2 linked regions of the Diceros bicornis minor genome follow. The protein of the gene in region 2 purifies or fractionates together with the protein of the main gene of each other region. This does not show direct contact. Links are inferred from orthologs where the notes say so. Each region holds a gene or a part of one and is shown on either strand. Other genes may lie near its edges.

Region 1 (10,498 bases), on a different chromosome or scaffold from region 2:
CAAAATTGTTCTAATAAATTGTTATTTTTTCCTTGTTCATGTCTGAAGAAGAGCTTCTTTCTGTAAGAAATTCTATATTTTATAATCTTTCCTTTGAAATATGAGAAAGATATGGAACTTCCTGTGTTACATACGCAGCTTATACATTCTTTAAAAGCTATTTTTAAAAAATATTACAAATTAATCATATATATCCATACATGTCCTTGCTATTCACATACTTCTTTAAGCAATATTTAAGTATATTTGTGCTTTGTATGTTTACATTACTTTAGAGCCTATTTTTAGCTTTCAATAAAACTGTATATCTATAAAGATTTCTCAAATATTTAATAAATGAGGCAAAACAGTCATTATAAAAATGTAAACTCCTATTATAGCTTTTTCATTTTTCATGCATTTGCTGCCAACCACGTAATTTCCTGTTCTTTAGAGAAGTTGATAAATTTGTATGGCAGGTTTCCTGAGCACACAGTATTCACTCTGCTGTGTCAGTTGCAGCAGTGGAATCTGACAATGTTGGTATTCATTACACCCAGTTATTTCAACTGCAGGACCACCTTATTAGCTGCTTCCAAGGAATTTACTAGATTCTGCAGCTCTTCTTTACTCACTTCAACAGAATATGGTTTGACTTCATCATTTTCTTTTACATCTAGATGAAAGTTTAAAAGCAGCGTTTGTAACGTAGCAATCTTGCCACTAAAAAGTGCAAGCTTTAACTGCCAATCAAAATCTTATAGCCAGGCAGAGGAAATATCAACTATTTCTTCTGACAGACCCTGACTGACTTTATTTTTTTTTTCTACTTTTCAAGCATTTCATGATAGCCTCTTGATGAAATGAATTCAACTGATTCAATTGCTGAACTATCTCTTCATCAGATAACTTTTTTCCAACTATGGCTTTGAAAAATTTGGTAATATCTTCTAGAACATGCATCCGTTCTGTTGAATCCCAAACACTGTGATAATCCTGGTAGAGAGGATAAGTTCGACCACAAATGCCATCAATTATTTTGTGAAGAAGCTGTAGGCGCAGCTTGGCTGGAAGCTTCTGCAGTCGCCACAAGGGCGTCCCCTCTTCTAAGCCAATTTCTTACCAATGAATATTTGGGTTTCCTCCAATATTTGGGATATTATACACAATACCACAGTGAATCCCACTGTTTATAATTTTTTGAAGACTTGAATAAGTGACTCGAGTTCTAAAAAGCTCAAAGATTATTTTCATTAAAAATTGTAAGAGACACTACAAAGCTGTCTTTCAGAAAAGTTGTAAAATTTATACTCCTGGCAATAGTAATTGAGAACCATTTCTTATTCTCACCTTACTATTATCCATATTTTTAGCTTTTACTAATCTGAGAAATTAAAAAAAAGTCATTGTTTTAATAGCATTTTTTAAAGCGTTTTGAGCTAGTAGCCATTTATATTTCTTTCATTTATATTTCTTTACCCATTATCTATTTCAGGGATCAGCAAAGATTTTCTATAAAGGGCCAGATAGTAAATATTTTAGGCTTCGTGGACCACAGCTACTCAAGTCTGTTATTGTAGTGTAAAAGCAGCCATAGACAATACATAGACAAATGCACATGGCTGGGTTCCAATAAACTTTATTTACAAAAACAGGCAGAGGCCTAGATTTGGCCCACTGGCTATAAGGTGCCAAATCCTGATCTATTTTGTTATTGCTGCTGATTTTAGTTTAAGAACTCTTTGTATAATTGGAAAATCATGGGCTTATCTACTCCAGTCAATTGAAGAATGTGACTGTTGTGTCAATACCAAACTCTTAATGACTATAGCTTTATAAAATGTTTTCATAAGCAACACTACTATATCTGGTTTGCTTAAATAATAAATTCCTGTCAAAATACAATGCCTAGAAGAGTCAAGTGCAGTTACATATTTACACCCTCATTAAAATTCATAAACTATCATGTAACTCTACAATGAGTTTTAGCAGCACAATGATAAAAAAGGCTTTGCTTTTGCTTCTAATTTGTTTCTGTGTGAAAGCAAAACTCAATTACCTTGCGTTTAAGGCCTCCACAATCTAATCTCAGGCTCTCTTTGCTGTGTTATCTGGTCAGTCCTTGATACTTAAGCCACACCAGGCTTTTTGCTATTCCCCAACCAGGCACCACACTCTCCACCTTCCTCCTTTGCTCACCCTATTCCTGCTATCTGGAATATTCTGCCTCTCAGTCTTTACTCACTGACTCCTACTCAACTTTAAAGACTATTTGAATTAACTCCTCCTTGACTTCACTCAAGCCTAGAATAGAATCTTTCTCCCAAGCTTTCATAAAGCTTTGCTTATTTGTTTTTGAGAGGTAGTATAGACTTTTTAAGTAAACAGTTTTCATTGAAGACAAAAATACAGAAAACTCAATAACTTTACCAAGTAAATACACCTATTTAACTATAGCCCAAGTCAAGGAGTAGATTATTACCACCCCCCAGACGTCCCCCATGTGCCTTCTCCCAGTCTACATCTCCCCAAAGGTAATCACTGTTTTGATTTCTATTCCTGTAAATTAATTTTCCTCATTTTAGAACTTTAAATGAATGGAATTATACAGTATGTATTCTTTTTCTTCTGGCTTTTTTCATTCAACATTATGATTGTGAGCTCTATCCATGTTGTGTGTAGCTGTAGTTAATTCTTTTTCATTGCTGCAGAGTAGTCTGTTGTATGAATAGACCACAATTTATTTGTCCTTTCTACTTTTCTTTTTTTTTTTTTTTTTGTGAGGAGATCAGCCCTGAGCTAACATCCGCCAATCCTCCTCTTTTTTTTTTGCTGAGGAAGACGGCCCTGGGCTAACATCGGTGCCCATCTTCCTCCACCTTATATGGGACGCCGCCACAGCATGGCTTACCAAGCAGTGCGTCGGTGCGCGCCCGGGATCCGAACCAGTGAACCCCGGGCCGCCGCAGCGGAGCGCGCGCACTTAACCGCTTGCGCCACCGGGCCGGCCCCTGTCCTTTCTACTTTTTTTTTTTTTTTTTTTTTTTGTGAGGAGATCAGCCCTGAGCTAACATCCGCCAATCCTCCTCTTTTTTTGCTGAGGAAGACGGCCCTGGGCTAACATCGGTGCCTATCTTCCTCCACTTTATATGGGACGCCGCCACAGCATGGCTTACCAAGCAGTACTTCGGTGCGCGCCCGGGATCCGAACCAGCGAACCCCGGGCCGCCGCAGCGGAGCGCGCGCACCCAACCGCTTGCGCCACTGGGCCGGCCCCCCTTTCTACTTTTGATGGACATTTTCATTGTAGTTTTTAGCTATTTGAAATTATGCTACTATAAATATTCCCATATATTTTTTTTTTGGTACACATTTCTGTTGTGTATAATATGGCCTTTGGAGGATACATCAAAAGTCTTTAAGATGTACTCAGAATTTGACCTAAGGAAAAAAGGTAGAGTTAAAAGATTTAGCTGTGCAGATGTTCTTTGTAGCATTTAAAAATAAATGGAAAAAATGGAAATTATCCTAAATGCTTAATAACAGGGCATTGTTTAAATAAATTATGACATCTGTGCAACAGAATATCATATTAAAATATATTAAAAATTATGGGACAGAGTATATTTACTGCCAAGGAAAGATTTACATGACATACTGTTAAGTGGAAAAAAAGTTCGATTACAAGATAATATATACAGCATAAGTTTGTTTTTATTAAAAAAATATATTTATATGTAAGTGTATATTTGAAAGGATCACACCAAAAGTTTAACTGTGATATCTTTGGGAAATGTAATGATGGCTGATTTTTCTTTTGGTTTCACTGTATTTTTTCAATTTTCTAAACTCCTCTTCTTAAGTATGGCTATGGATTTATCCCTGTATTCACAGTGCATAGCATACTACTTGGCATATAGTGGTTCTAAATAAATGTATATTTGATTATACAAAAGAATATAAATTGTCACAAAATGAAGGTAAAAACAATTCAATTTGGGCCATTCTAAAAGGCCAAGATGGGCCGGCCCCATGGCTTAGCGGTTAAGTGCACACACTCCGCTGCTGGCGGCCCGGGTTTGAATCCCGGGCGCGTACTGACTCACTGCTTCTCTGGCCATGCTGAGGCCGCGTCCCACATACAGCAAGACGTGCAGCTATGACATACAACTATCTACTGGGGCTTTGGGGGAAAAAATAAATAAATAAAGTTAAAAAAATAAAAAATAAAGGCGTATGCTTTTAAAAAAAATAATAAAAGGCCAAGATAAGTAGTAATTGTCAAGGAAGACATCCGGATGGAAGTGACCACATATTTACTCTCAGAGCTCCACCAAACAGCATGAATTCAGTCGCAGAGCTCTATGCGGGAGCCTTTACACTAGTCCCCAGCGTGGCCCTTTGCACTAACTGCACTCAGATCCTTTACCAACGATCTTGTAACCGGCTCTAAAGGTGGCTGATCTCTCAGATGTACTAAGTGCCCACTGTCAATTAGAGACATCAAGGTAAAATGAAGAGCCAAGTCCTAGAATGTGCTTAAAATTTGTCATTGATTGTTCTGTATCTACATTATTACAATTTTAAAGCTTTCAGGCATCACAATGTACTTTTAAAAAAAGGTTTGCTTTTTCTAAAATGTAACCAATTGCTTGTTTTCATCCTTCACAAAAAGCCAAACAGCATTTTCCCCCTTAACGTTCAAAACCACAAGCAGTCATAAATAAGATTTGAGCAGATCCGCCAGGCATCCTCTGACCAAAGTATCTCTCTCCTCCAGCTCCCCCTGGCGTCCTCTTCGCCTTCTATCGTGGTCTGAAATGCTCACCATTAGAATCCTTCCTTCGGTTTAGAGGACAAGATTACCCTCTAAAGCGGTCCCTCCCCAGCCCTTTCTCAGTACATCAGCTGGGATTTTAGAAGTTAGTTGGTCCCGGGGGCCGACACGGACTCTGTAATCCGGTGGTTACGGAAGGGCAGGCAGCTTTGCGGGCTGCATGGGGCTTAGAGCCAGGGAGGGCTGACCTAGTGGGAGAAGGGTTACAACTATCCTTTCTTTCTGGCCCGGCGAAGAGGAATTTGGTTTCTTTTAGGTGACGGCAAAAACCATCCCCCTTCTTGAGGCTTGGAGCAAGGAAGTGACTCTCTATGGCCTTTGGACAGGAGAGGCTGGCTGGGGCCCTGGCGGTTGGCCCTGGCCAGGGCTCATGCCAGGGTCTCACACTGCCTTCCAGGTGCCACCTGGTGTCTCACTGTTCCTGTTGGCACTACACGTCCCCGGGTTTGCTAAACCACCCAGTCCAGACATGCTCGAGGCCTCACCGTTGAAGCCAATCACAGCCTCAAGCTCCAGCTCCGCCACCTCGGCTTTGGGCGAAATTTGGTTCTCCATCACCCGGACACTCGGCTCACTTTCCTCCCAGCCTCCGACGATGGAGCGTCTTTTGGTCGTTATGGTAACAGACGTACGCATGCGCGCCAGATCCCCGCCCGCGCTGAAACCCATTCTGCGGAGTTGGTCTTTTACTCTCTCGGAAACGAGAAGAGGGCTTCTTTTTCCTTTCTATCGCTCTGGAAATTTAGGGGGCACTAAATGCACAGAACTAATTCCCTCCTCCCTAAATAAAGAGTCTGTGACCTTTTTGGTACCTATATAATCAAGCACCTAATGGCATCTAAAAATTAATCAAACATGGTGGATTGCCTTTGATGGGAAGGCTGCTATAAAATAGTATGTAATTGCTACTTCTTTGGGTCCCTTGTTCGAAGCAGGATAAAACAAATTTTTTAAAGCTTTATTGAGGTATAATTTACATATCATAAAATTCACTTAAAGTGAGTTTTAGTAAATTTATACATTTGTACATCTATGACAACCAGTTTTTTGTTTGTTTATTTTTGTTATTGTTTCAAGCAGGAGAAAATTTTAAGTAACTGCTAGAGGTCTTGAGGCGCTCCCCCGTTTCCGGGAAAATGCTTAGATTTTGTTCAACAACAATTTTATTTTAATTGCGCCCAGCTGTTGGCATCTCGGCGGGAGCAGAATGCTCCAACCTACTGTTCCCTGGGTCAGCGCTTTCCTTTCTTCATCAGAGCTTTGAGGCCCTAGTGTAGATTCCCTTCGCAAACTCCAGGTTTCGGTCGCGCACGGGTGGAACCGCGGAGTATGAGCCGCGCGAGCCGCCGTAGTCAGCTGCTGCGAGCAGGAAGTGTCCGAGGAGCGGGCGGAGACTGCACAATGGCCCCGGACCCCTGGTGAGCCCCGGGTGGGGGCGGCCGCGCGGAGAGTCTGTGGGGGGAGGCCGGGCTTCTGGGGAGCGGGCGACCGCTAGGCGTTCGGTCTGGAGGTCATTCGGGATGAGAGGAGGGGCAGCGAGGACCCTTCCTCAGCTGAGGGGGACTCTGCCGCATTCTGCCACCCTCGGTCCTTGCGGGGTGGCCCAGGAGGGAGACCGAGTAGACCCGTGGGGAGCTGAGGAATGGTGTCGAATCTCTGAACATTCCTTTAGCCCTTCCCGGCTGCACCTTGCCGCGGAGATTTCCCGCCCATCCTGGTTGTGGAGCTGGCGGTGCAGGCTTCCCTGGACTCCTGTGAAAGGGAAGTCGAAGTAACCTTTTTGTGCAGTGCCAGTCCATCTGGGGAACCCCCTTATTTCACAGGTGGAGAAACGGAGGTTCAGAATCCCTGGTCACCAGCCAGTTAGTAACCAGTTGGCGCTAGGACCTAGAACTTGTGGGCCCTTCAAAAAACTTCTAGGAATATCAGAGGGAAATTATGCATTTGTTTTTAAGGCATTTTACCGTTATCTGAGTCAGTATCATGAGGACTGTTTCTATGGCAGCAACTTTTGCAGTAAAACAGTAGCTGATAGCGGTCCTTTATTCATCAGTTAAGTCCCAGGGACTGAGTGATGACAGACACTGTCTGTCATAATTAAAAACATATTCTAGCTCTGTAAAGTTCTTGTACTATATGCCTCATGTTGGTACTTCTCATATAGTTTATAATTGTTTAAGTGGCAGACAGTCTGGATAGTAGGAGAATGGATTGCAAGATCAAAGTTAGCACCCCTGGGATTTAGGTTATCTGGGCAGGTAGCTTACTTCATTTAACACTAATTTTTTTCCACCTTATTTTAACACCCTGATGGAAAATTTAGAAAATACTGAATATTTGCAGAGAAAACAATAAATTTAACTCAGTCATTTGGAATAATAGCCATTATTGATTTTTTTAAATGAACTTATTGCTTTATATATGTGTGTGTATATGTATATAAACACTCATATGTTTTACAAAACAGGGAACATTTCTCCCTATCACTAAATATTCACTCTAAACATTATTTTTTATAGTGCATCATATGAATGACCATAATTTAATTATTCCCCGCTTTGTACCTTTTTTTAATATTAGGGATTTGTTTATGTTTTTTTAATATTGCAGAGATTGCCCCTTTGTTTTGTGTCTTATTTCCTTGGCTCACTTCTTAGAAGTGGAACTCTTGGGCCCAAGGGTATGAACATTTTTAAGGCCCTGGATACATGTTGCTAAGTTGCCCTCCACCTCCTGGAAGCTAACTCCCTCACTTTACACATAAGGTAGGAAATAAAGCTCAGAAATAAGTTAGAGGCCCCAGGTTATCCATATAGCTTGGCAGAAGCTATCACTGGACCCCAGGCCTCTTCCACAGTGAGTTTTGAAAAGGCATTTATAATTTTTCCTGTTACTCTCAAGTAGTTTGAATTAGTGGCTTTCTCATTTGTTGAAAGTGAAACAGTGGGGGAACTCTGCTGTGCTAGCGTCAGCTTCTTTGCCAAGTAGGTTGCTGATCAGCAGGGTAGAAAGGAGTATGGAATGGGACTTGGAAAAACCTATAGAAACAGACTTGACTACAGCTTTGCCTTCCTGCTGTTGAAAATCATCGGTCAATGATGCTTTACTCCTGTGTAGTGTTCTAAAGTTGAGAAGTGAAATGTAGCAGTTACTATTTTAATGGCATATCAAAGCAAGTAGTAAGCTCACTGTTTAATAGAAGTAGCGAGTAATTACTGTCTAAACTGGTTCTTTGCTCAAGTTAATCAGCTTTACTGCTAGGGCAACTTATTTGTTGATGATACACCATTTCTGGAAAAATTATATTCTAGTTGGCTTTTTTTTGGTCTATTATTTAAAAGTTTTGTTATGAAAGATAAAAAATATATGTGGAATAGTATAATGAGCCCCTTTATACTCATCACTCAATTTCTGTAATTATCAATATTCTGCCATTCTTGTTTCATCTCTGCTCTCCACACTTTTTTTTTTCCTGTGTCTTTTAAAGTAAATCTTATACATATATCAATTTAACTGTATATTCAGTGCTTTTCTGATAGAACAGAGGCCCAGTTCTTAGTCTAGAAACTTCTTTTAGTTTCCCCATTCTAGTTCCTTGGTCTCTGTCATGGCATCACCATCCTCTTAGTCACTTAGGCCTGAAAACACTAATTACCCACTTTTCCTTCACTCCTCATATCAGATTTTTCACTAATGCCCTTTTTTTTTTTTTTTAAGTATCTCTTGACATCTTTTTTTTGCTGTCTTTTTCTGCCATAGTTCAATCCTTTATAGCCCTATGCCTTGCAGATAGTAAATACTGGTGACTGGTTATAGAATTGAATAGCTGGAGAAGTCATCTACTGATCTCTTGCCACTCTTCTCTCCTTCCCAACTGTTTACCTAAATGGAGTTCAGGTTAATTTTCCTAAACTAGTACTTTAGGCACTGTGTTCTTGATACCTTGATGAAGTTGCCCGTTAACACTTGGCCAGTGGTTCCCAAACTTCGCTACAGATTGGAATTACCTGGGGAGCTTTCCCAACTCCTCATGTCCAGGTCAAACCCCATACCAATTTAATCAGAATGCTTGGGGGTGGGAGCCAGGAATTGTGTTTGTTTTTGTTTTGTAGTGATTCCCCAGTTATTCCAGAATGTAGCAAGGTTTCAGAACCACTTTTTTAGGGCTAAAGTGAGAACATGAGGATCAGTGGCAAGACACCTGAGATTTTGCCCGTCAGCATATCACCTCTTCAAGGCCTCACTTTATGCTCTACATACAGCTCTAAAATTCTCTTATAAGTCTAATCTTATTAGGTTGGTGTTTAAGGCTCTGCAGAAACTAGCTTCGACTCATCTTTACCATTTTATGCTTTACCCTCCCACCACCACTGAGGGCCGCCACTCAGCCGAGTGTGCCAGGCACATTTTGTTCCTTCCATCTTTGCTCCTTGTGCTTGCACATTTGCCACATCTAGAATGCTCTCCTCCCTCCTGTTGGAACGAGAGGCCTGCTTTAACCTGGTGCCTCAGCCCAAGATGTAACCTCTTGGCCCAGCCCTGTCAGATCTGAGTGCCTCGGCCAACGGTAATTTCTCTCACTTCCGAACTCCGGAAATACTTACCATTTATACCCCACATTTGACCCCACAATTGTACTTCTCACTGATTTTCATATTTACAGTCTGGAACCACAGAACCAGACCTAAGCTCCTCTTTTCATAGGTGCCAATATGGAGGAGAAAAGGGGGAAATGTAAAGCTGGGACCAGGACCCAACTGTCCTTATCAGCTTCCCTCCTGTTTTCTTAATGATGTGTTATTTTGTATCACCTGCCCGTTTTTTGTATACAGGAATGATGCTTTTTTAGAGTATAGTGGTGAGTGGTTAAAGATCCAATTTGTAGGATCCTTACGAAGTTTAAAATGTAAAGCTCTTAGCGTAGGACCTGGCCCAGATCAGGTACTCAGCTGTCAGCCATTGCTATATTTCTATAATAAGATTCCTATGGGAAGCAATTGGGATTGTTTTTTCCTTCATTCAAACAGACATTTTCAAGTTCCCTGGGTATATAAGTGATATGTGGGCGTTTGAAGATTTTAAGAAATGGATTATTTATTTTGTCAAGCAAAAATTGGGATATTAGGTCAAACAGCAGTTGTCAATATTTTGTACTGGGACAGTCCTGGAAAATATGTTGGTTGTATAGTACAGCATAGCCCCTGTTCTTTAGGAGCAGACCATCTGGTAGGAGAGATGAAATGTGTTTGCACACTTAAGTATTTTCTGTAAAACAAATAGAAAGTAAAAAGGCTGTAACAGAAGGAAAAAATAAGGGACTATTGGGAATTCATTGTGAATCCTTCGAAGCCCCCAGCACTGTTGAATAACACATAGAAGCTCAGTAAATGTTTTGAGAGAGTTCTGATAAGCTTAGATGTCAGGTGGCTGTGTGTCCTTTGTCCCCAGAGCATTGTGTTATAGGATAAACAGCACTGGCTGTTCCTGTACTGTAAAGTTCTTCCCCAGATATCTGGAGGGCTAGCTTCCACACCTTGCCGGTCACTCTGTCTTTATCCCGCTTTATTTTTCTTCTTAGCACATATCAACACCTGACATATTATATATTTATTTGTTTTATGCCTTTCTCCCTTCACTAAGCTCCTTGAAAGCAGGCACTTTGTCCATTTTGTTCACTCCTAT
Region 2 (9,844 bases):
CGTTTCAATGTAACAGGAGTCACGTCCAGAGAATTCCCTGAGAACACTCAGTACAATGCACTGCAGGGCCCAAAAGGAACAAGGTGTCCTTCCCAGGTAAGATTCGCTCCCTGCCCAGCAAAGACCCAGCCAATATCAGGGTTCCAGAATCTATTTTTGCTGCGAGGTAAACTCATCCTAGTAAACTGAAAGTCCCATGTCCTGGGAACTCCCTCCATCTCAAGCAAACCGGGACAGTTGGTTATCTGTCAGACAGGTTCTTCCTTTACAATGGGCCTCTTATCCTACTGTTCCCCAGACCTCACCTGGGCCTGCTCCAGAGTGTCTTCTGCCTCAAGCCCACCAGTCAGAATATGCAGATTGGCTCCTTCTGGGTCAGAAGAGGTGACAGCATGGGCTGGGTGGGTCACTGGGGACAGGGTTAGGATCAGAGGAGACCAGGAGATTGAGGAGAAGGGGTTCCCAAGGAACCTCAGCTGTTGGAGTTGGATCAAAGACTCTGGTCTTTTATCTAGAGTCTGTATGTGTTTCTGTGCATACAGTGAGGATTAAACAGTACCTGGTATCAGGAAAAGCTTTCAACATTTACAACGTTTGGAGATAAAGAAGAACTACTAAAGGGAAGCCTGCTTTAAACCCTATTTTCAAGTGGGCAGAATGTGAGTTATTAAAATATAAATAATAAAGAGGAGAGTAAAACTTCATTGGTCAGTATAAAGCAGCTGTAATAATTGTAGTAATTTATATCTAATTACCATGTGGCATAGTGATTACGAGGCATTATTGTGTCAAGTAAATCATACACTAAGATCTTTGTGATTAGGGTACTAAATTCTGCTCAGTCATGTGTGCTCTGGTATTTAGTTTTAAACCATTAAAGATAATTTAGGTTGGCCTAGTCTTGAGTTTTTTGCTGCAGGGAATACAGGGAGTTAAAAGGCAGGCGAACTTGTTACATTTGGTTTTGGAAGGACCAATCTAAAGATACTTTTTAAAAAAAAATTAGTGCCATCTTTATTTATAAAAGAATTCTCAGAAAAACTCAAAGCGCTTTGCAGATTTTAATCTAATTAATCCTTACTATGACCCCAGGAGGGAGTTCTTACACAATGGCCGTCATTGTTTAAAGCCACCAGTTGTCAGAGGCCACAAAAGAGTCACTTTGTCTGCAGTTGCTTCTCTGTCCTGGCTTTATTCATAAAATTTATAATGTTCTTTAAAATAAGTCTAGTATAAATATAAACTGACTATTAGTGTCTTAATAATCTCCATTCCTGGTGAGACACATTAATCTCACCACTAAGAATTTCTTAGAAATGACTTTATACACCAGCTTAAAGAAATAGAAATGTTTGTTAGAGGGGCATTCAAAGTTCTGGATGAACTCTCTACGATTAAAATATTTTCATATATTAATCCACACGTATTTACAGGGCTCCTGCTATGAGTTAGGTGCTATGAACACAAAGACAGCTTAGGATAGAAATAAAGTCGTCATAATAGTAATGTGTATGGTGGTGATCTAGAGGTCTGAGTCAGAACAAGTCGTTAATAAACCAGGGACTGGAGTTGCGCAATGCTAAGAAGGGACAGATACAAGAGGAGGATGCTTGACCACCAACATTTGCCTATACCCTTGGTTTGCATTTGGTTCAGGTGGCATGGTATTTATCTATTTATTTATGTATGTATGTATGTATGTATGTAACATTGGTTATAACATTATATAAATTTCAGGGACACATCATTATATTTCGATTTCTGTGTAGATTACACCATGTTCATCACCCAAAGACTAATTACCATCCATCAGGCATGGTCTTTAATAGCTCTCTTTAGTATGTGGGTAAGAGAATGCTTTCACATACAAAATCTCATTGGATATGAAATAGGTAGCACAAATATTATTTCCCACTTTTCACAGATAAGAAAATGAGCTCCACAATAGTAAAGCTGCTGGGATCATAGTGGATGGATGGTAAAATTAGAAGCTGAAGCAGGTTCTCCAAGTTCTCATGTGAGCTCTTGTCTAAGATGAAGCATTCCCAAAGCACTTCCAAAGTCCACTTTCCACCCTCATCTTCAAACTCGCCAAGTCCAGCCGCCACCTCTAGACTCTAGTGCCGGAGTGCTTATTCCTTAAACTCTGCCCCACGTGGGACCTCCTATTCCTCTGCACATCAGCCAGACATGGTTAGAGAAATCCACAGGAATGTTTATTTTAAAAACAAAGGGAAGACAAATACAAAGGTGTGAAAACAATGCAATTAATCGAGCGCAGGTTTCAGCTCACAGTTTGTTTTGCCCGGCAGGGTAGATGGCCAGAGATCCTCTCCTCTATCCCCTCGCTGTCCAAGTAGGCAACTTACCTGACCTTGGGTATGTCTCTTATCTATTTTGGGTCCTTCCTCTCCTCCCCTGGGGGGGTGTTAAAATGAATCTCCAGCCTCTCTGTTAGCAGAGTATTCATAGAAGGAAGAAGTGATTACACTCACCAGAGTTGTGTATCACATCACTAACCCTCGCCCGTCCACATCCAACAGCTTTCATCCCTTCCTGAAAAAATAAGGGAAGATATTCCAAAAGCATCCTACAGCAACCTCCTACAGCCACATACTCCAACGGAGAAAGGAGTTCTCAGGATGGGGAATATGCAGCATTTGAATCTGTCAACTAAGTAGCACCTTTTCCCGTATTTTGATTTAAACAACTTTCCCACTTTTTTTCCTTCACTTCCAAGGGGGATTTCACAGGATGATACGGAGGTCCCAAGGTGCTGGCAAATCTTTGATATGTGAAACAGGGGTCTCTCCTAGCACACCTCAAGGAGCTGGATGCATTTGTGCAATTCATTCCACTTGTGTGCAGAAAGAAACCAAGGGGACAGTGTAGAGTAATGGTTAAGAGCTGGAGCTCTGAAATCAAACTGCTCTGGAATGGAGTTCCTGCTCTCTTTGCCAGCTGTAGGACCCTGGCCAAGATAGTTACCCTCCCTGAGACTCCATGTCTTCATTTACTTAAAAAATAATAGCTGGCGTTGATTGAGCACACACTCTGTGCTAGGAACTATCTGTGCTAATTTTACACGATTTACATGCATTTTCGCATTTAATCCTTACCACAGCCCTGTGAAGTGGGGACTATTATCATCCCCATTTTATAGGTAAGAAAATTGAAGCACAAAGAGGTTAAATAGTTTGCCAGAGATTGTATGACTGTAAACGAAAACAGGATTCAAACACAGGCAGTCTTCCTCCAAGACCCATGCTTTGAATCGCTACCTTCTTCATAGTGATGTTGTAAGGATTAAACGAGCTCATGAAAGTCAGGTCCCCTGCATAGTGCCTGGCACTTCAACAAGCTTTAGGTAAATGTTAGCTGTAGCATTATTTTTAGCATTGTCATCTGTTCCAAGAGATATCTGGGCCAGGTTTTAACATAGGATATTTTGTGTCTAGTCCAGTTAACTGCCCCAAGGCATGTGTTTTGCAATTGACCTGAAAGGCCTCTGCTCCTACCTAAACAATCTGTGTACTATGGGTTACCTGGTTAAGAGATGGGCTAAATGGCTGGCAATCTGCCCATGTAAAAAAGTTCTTCATACTGGAAAGAAGTATGAAGTGTCTTATAAAAGAATGGCATACTGAGCAATAGCTAGCTGAACTGTAGGCAGTACCCAGATGATAAATGGATTATGTTTCAAAAGTTCATTTGTCTATTGTTATAAACTCTGAATCCATAGAAATAAGGTTGCAAATGGTGGTTACATTCCAAGACTATTCACAGAAGTCTATTTATTTAGCCCATTTTAAAGCTCAATGACAGAAATCAACCCTCTAGCCCAAGGGCAGGCCTAGGCACAAGAGCCCATGTGATAAAAGCAGTAGAAAAGTGTCTTTCCTGGTACAGAGGAAAGTTGATCTAGAGTGTATTTGTTATCTCTTGCTGTGTAAGAAATTGTCCCAAAACTTACCATATTAAGACAATAAACATTATTATCTCACAGTTTCTGTGGGTCATCTGGGAATAGCTTAGCTGGGTGGTTCTGCTCAGGATTTCTCATGAGGTCAAGGTCACCTCACCTAGGCTGCAGTCATTTGAATGCTTAACTGGGGCTGGAGATCCACTTTCAACATGACTCACTCACATGGCTATTGGCAGCAGGCCTCAGTTCTTCATCACATGGGCCCCACCATGTGGCTGCTTGAGTTCCTCATGACGTGGTAGCTCCGGCTTTTCCCAGTGCAAGTGATCCATGAGTGACAACAAGAAGGCAGCTGCAATGCCTTTTATGACCTACTCTTATAGGTCATACACTGTCACTTCTGTCATAGTCTATTCATTATAGGCCATATGCTATTCATTAGGAGCAGCTCACACTCAATAGGAGGGGGAATTAAGCGCCACCTCTTGATGGGAACTGTATCACAGAATTTGTGGACATATCTTAAAATCACCATATAGTTTTTGTTGTCCTCTCATCACTCTCTCCAGGTACCCAGTGACACAAAATAATAAAAATAAATCGAGATTCAGAACTGCAGTCCTTCCCAACAAAGCTTACTGTGAATACCCAAAACAATCCATGCTCTTGCCTCAACTTTTCTTGAAAACATCTATCCTCTTTCCTTAAATGGAATCTTATATGAAGAATTTATACTAAAGAGAGAGCAATCATATTCCCAAAATCTTTGCTTTATTCACTAGTATTTTTCATTAGTAAAATTTCAGGCAGTATAACAAACCGAAATGAAAAACAACAAACAACCTACTGGCAAACCAGGTGGATTAAAATATTTGAGGTTAGGAAAGCAACCCTCAGTAAGCTCTCTCTTTTCAGCTGATAATGACCTGAGTGCCCTGGTTACTGAATATTCTGGGTCTTGAGAACCATGGGATCCCTGATCTAGGTTTCCTAACCTGACTTCCCTGGCTGCAGCTCTGTAGGAATATGGTGGGCATTCAAAAGTGAGGGACTGCCCTGGAGTCCAAAAGCAATTGGTGCTCTAGTACCTGAGGTGTGCAAGATTCTCAAGTGATATCTTAATCTTCAGAGGAAAATGATGTTTCGTATGACTTTTTATTATATTCTTTTTGTGTTTTTTAACTTGAAATTTGGTAATCCACGTAGACTGTTGTCAAAATACAACATTTATATAAATTGGATAAATAGGAGTTTGCAGGCAATTCAACTCCAAGTATGAGCTAGGGACTTGATCTATGAGTTCTCCTGAGTGGTGTTGTTTTAAATCTCATTTGAGTCTTAAACCCATTAGAGAATATGATGAAAGCTAAAGAACTTATTCAAGAAAACACATATACCCACAAAATTTTGCACATAAATTTAAGGCCTCCTGAATCCCCTAAAACCTATCCAGGGAATCTGGATTAAGAATCTCTAAGACTTTCACGGGAGAAGGGGTGGGGGGAAGCTTACTGCCATTCCATTTTGCCATTAAAATTTAGATCCTAATCAGAAGCTACTATTCAGAACTTAATTCTTTTTAAATTTTTTGTGCTTGTTGTTGCTGTTAGCACCAAAGGCCAGAAAAGAAACCTCTAGTAGATTTTCTGTGGTTGCGGTTAGTGCATATCGTAAATACCTTGGAGGCAAAAGGAACGTGGCAGTGAGCACAAAAAGGAAACACATTTGCTGAAAAACAATAGTAATTATAAAGCAGGACACAGAACTGCTGAGGACCATAAGCCCTGCCCTCTCCAAGTGGACCTGACCGTGCAGCAAATTTTGCCAACTTGCCAGAGAGGCAGCAACTGCTTCGCTTCCCACTTGGCAAGAAAGCGCTAAATTCGTTTTCTTCCGAGCATCCGCAACCAAGATCCCAACCCAACATTCCCGCGGCCTTCCGTCGGTGGAGCAAACTCCCGGCAGCAACGCCCAGCCCCGGGCGGGATCGTTCGAATTTGCCCACTTCGCCCGCGGACCCCGGCTCCATCCCCACATGCCTCCCAGCCTGGGGAAGAGGAAGGGGAAGGGCCGAGCCGGAGAGTGGGGCTTGGTCTGTGAGTGTCCCTCGGCAGAGCCGGGTGCGCGGGGCCGGGCAGCCAGGACCTGGGCGAAGGGCGGGGGTCCCGGCGCGCGCCCCTGACCCGCCCCCCGCGGGCGCCCCAGCCTCGCGCTACGGGCCTGCGTGTCCTCGCGCCGACCCCTCCCTCGCGCGCCTCGCCCGCGGCCGCTCCGGCGCACGCGCGCGGCCTCGCGCAGGGCGGGGAGAGGCGGCGGCTGCGGGCCCCCGGCCGCGAAGCTGTCAGATCCGGGGAGCCCGGCTGCGGCTGCCGGCGCGGCAGGCGGGAGGACGGCCCAGCTCCCCGCCGCCCCGGGCCGAGCTGGGCGAGCCCGCCCGCCGAGCCGGCCGGGAGCGGGGAGATGAGCGGCGGCCCCGCGGCAGCGCCCCAGGCAGACGCGCCGCCCCCTCGCGGAGCCCCGGCGCCTCCGGGCCGGCCCTGCGCCCCCGCCGCCCGGGGCTTCGGAACTTGCGGGCACTGTTGGGGCGCGTTTAATTTATAACGTGCTTCGTGTTCCACAGGATGGGGAGGGACGCGCGGCAGTGTCATCGGGAACTGGCGGCCCGGTGAAGCAGGAGCCGCCGGCAGTCCGCCTGCACCCAGCCGTTCCGCGCCGCGGCCGCTCAGCCTCTGCCATGGCCGGATCCGGCGCGTGGAAGCGCCTCAAATCTCTGCTGAGGAAGGATGATGCGCCGCTGTTCTTAAATGACACCAGCGCCTTTGACTTCTCGGACGAGGTGGGGGACGAGGGGCTTTCTCGGTTTAACAAACTTCGAGTCGTGGTGGCCGATGATGGTTCTGAAACCCCGGAAAGGCCTATTAACGGGGCGCACCCGGCCCTCCAGGCCGACGACGACTCCTTACTGGACCAGGACCTTCCTTTGACCAACAGTCAGCTGAGTTTGAAGGTGGACCCCTGTGACAACTGCAGCAAACAGAGAGAGTTACTGAAGCAGAGAAAGGCGAAAACCAGATTGAGCATTGCTGCCGTTCTTTACTTGCTTTTCATGATTGGAGAACTTGTAGGTGAGTTGTGTTGCCAACTCACTTTCCGTTTACCTTGCCTGGAGAGCCTTTGTCAAGCTTTAGTTACACATGATTTGAGGTTTAAACTTTCTTTTCAGGAATCTTGCTATTTATCAAGATACTGATCTCGTGATGTGAAAAAGGCCTCATGGTTCCAAAGTGCAGATCAACCTAAGTAGGACATAAACTTCCAGAGATAACTTTGACTTTTTCTTCTAGTTCTCCAAACACTGTGTCACCTACTGTAAAGTTAAGGACATTATCTTCATTGTATATCATGTAACTTCCTCTTTTTAAAAAAAATTCTGATAAAACACCAGGTTAATTTTTGCAACGTTTAAAATAGTAAATTGTTCTAAAATTAATTAGAATCATAAAATTTTGCAGTATGAAGGGACCTTACGGAAAACCTGCTCCACTTTTTTTTTTCACACGTAGGGAATCGGAGGGCCCAGAGAGGTTAAATAAGTTATGAGGACACTTACCTGGTTAATGGAAAAGCCATATCTACAGTCTCAATCTCCTGCTTTTTTCCCTCTACATTTGACTTAAATGGTCTTTTTATACTATTTCCGTTTGTATTTATATCCAAGAGATTTGCCAAATTGAATACTACCAACTAACCTGAACGTTTTTCATTAAAAGGAGGATCTGAAAGGAACCAGAGGGCTCCCCTAGGGTATATGAACTTGGTTTTATTTTCTGTTTTTTAGTTATTCAAGTAGAACATTCTCACTATAATATACCTTCTTAGAGATTAATTTCACAGTCACATTAGCGTAACTGCTAACTTCTCTTAGGGACAGTTTACAAAGTGACATTAAAGCAGGGCGATTATTCTCCCATGTTGTCTCAATGATGAACCACGATGAGAACAGAGGTGGCAGTCTAGATTTAAGATGCTGGCTGGAGGTTATATGCAGGAAAATTATATACTTTTCCTACCTCATTTTACACCAGTGCTCCCTTCAGCCGTGCTGGCCTTCTTTCTCCCTACGACTCACAAAGCTCCTTGCTGCCCATAAGCCCTTCAACCTATCTGGTCCCTCTACCTCAGTAGCTTTCAAACTTTTTTGACCTCACAAAAGTAAGAATACACTTAGCATTGTGACTCGTGCAGGCATGCGTGCATATGTATGTACACACATATACACATATGTATGAATATATATATAACTAAAACAAAGTTTTATTTCATGCGATGTGTTCCAATATTTTTTCAATTGTAGTCCCAGCCTACTTAATTGGTTTCATGGTCCACAAATAGGTCGGGCCTGCAGTTTGAAAAACGCTGCTTTACATGGACTGCCTTTTCCCAAATCTCTTGACTGGTTTCTTGTCATTCATATGTCATCTCAAAAGATACCTCTGAGACTGACTAAAGTAAACCTCTCTTCCCTGTTTCTGCCCCAACTTTAAAAGCCCTCAGCATCTGAGATTATCTTGTTTGTATATTCACTTGTTTAATATCTGTCTTCCTCCACTGAAATTTAATAAGCTGAATTTCCAGCTTATTAGAACAATGACTGGCACAGAGTAGACACTCAGTAAATTTTTGTTGAATTAATTTTTGTTGTGTTAGAGAATTATAAATGCTTAGAGAATTATAAATGCTTAAGCTATAAACAAATTAAAAGATGGGAGTAAAGCTGTGGCCAGGTAAGACATCGTCTCAGCATACTAAGAGTCAATGATTTGCCCAGATTCACACAGCTAGAATATATAGTCATTCAGACTTTGTGATTCTTGAAGTTAATATTTAATATTTGAATTTAAAAATCACATTAAACACAATTTTCCCCCTTAAAATTAATTTAGAGTTTGTTTCGCCTAAGTAAAAATTGTTAAATACGATTGTCCTGACTTACCATTTTTGAAGTCTCTTATTTGGTAAATGTTGTTTTGTGAAAGCCACAATAAGTGTTCCTTTTCAAATATGAAAATCTTTTGTTAAACAATACAGAGATGCTAGTATGTAGGATAGGCATTAACAATACTATTCAGAATGTTATATAGAATTGTATACAGTAGAGCATTTATTAACGTACGTTCAAAGCACCTAGAAATAAAGCATCTTATGTAGGAAGTATGGAGTAATAAAAACATGAATTTAAAGATCTAAAAGAGGAAACTCGATTTTGAATCTTGGCTTTGCCACTAACTTGCTCATTATACAAGGTCCATTCTTATCTTCCTTCCACTCAGCAAGTATTTTTTGAGTACTTACTGTATGCCAAGCACTGTGCTACGTGTTCTCGATATATTATGGTGAACAAAACTGTTATGATCCCTAATATCGGAAGCATTTAATTTAATGAAAGAGACAGATGTTAAATAAACACAAGTAAATTTAAAATTCAAATGGTCTTAAGTGCAATGAAGAAAAAGAACAAGGTACTTATAAGACATAGTAACCAGTGAGACAAAGTTTATTTATGAGCCAGGTACAGTTAAACGGAAAAAAGATAGTAGGAGTTATTCAAGCAAAGGAAGTGGAGGAGTTTTCCAAGTGAAGAGAACATCATGTACGAAGGTCCTAAAACTTTTAGTTCTTTAAAAGGAACTAAAAAGAAGGCCAGTTTGGCTGGAATGTAGTGAGCAAGCAGGAAAGAGGCAGGGGGACCAGATCAGGCAGACCATATTATTATGAGTGTAGTTTTTATTGTAACTATGATGGGAAGCCAGTGAAGTCTTTTAAGCAGAGAGTGACATGATGGGCTTTAGGTTTTTAACAGATTACTCTGGTTCTTATGTGAAGAATGAATTGGAGGGTGCACGAATGGAAGCAAGTAAA

What was found.
Region 1: the proteins of SLC30A4 (region 2) and STX8 purify together in Homo sapiens (co-immunoprecipitation; 3 studies listed by BioGRID and IntAct, with this or other methods). This does not show direct contact. The link is inferred for Diceros bicornis minor from reciprocal best matches to the Homo sapiens genes SLC30A4 and STX8.

The regions. Positions count from the first base shown.
Region 1 is NC_080757.1:9,072,616-9,083,113, forward strand, and holds the start of STX8 (syntaxin-8), read left to right. Parts: upstream 1-6,164; 5' UTR 6,165-6,217; coding exon 6,218-6,234; intron 6,235-10,498. Other genes in the region: CFAP52 (cilia- and flagella-associated protein 52), read right to left, coding at 5,302-5,371. UniProt on the Homo sapiens protein: Vesicle trafficking protein that functions in the early secretory pathway, possibly by mediating retrograde transport from cis-Golgi membranes to the ER.
Region 2 is NC_080744.1:42,403,278-42,413,121, reverse strand, and holds the start of SLC30A4 (probable proton-coupled zinc antiporter SLC30A4), read left to right. Parts: upstream 1-5,777; 5' UTR 5,778-6,021; intron 6,022-6,545; 5' UTR 6,546-6,659; coding exon 6,660-7,050; intron 7,051-9,844. UniProt on the Homo sapiens protein: Probable proton-coupled zinc ion antiporter mediating zinc import from cytoplasm potentially into the endocytic compartment. Controls zinc deposition in milk.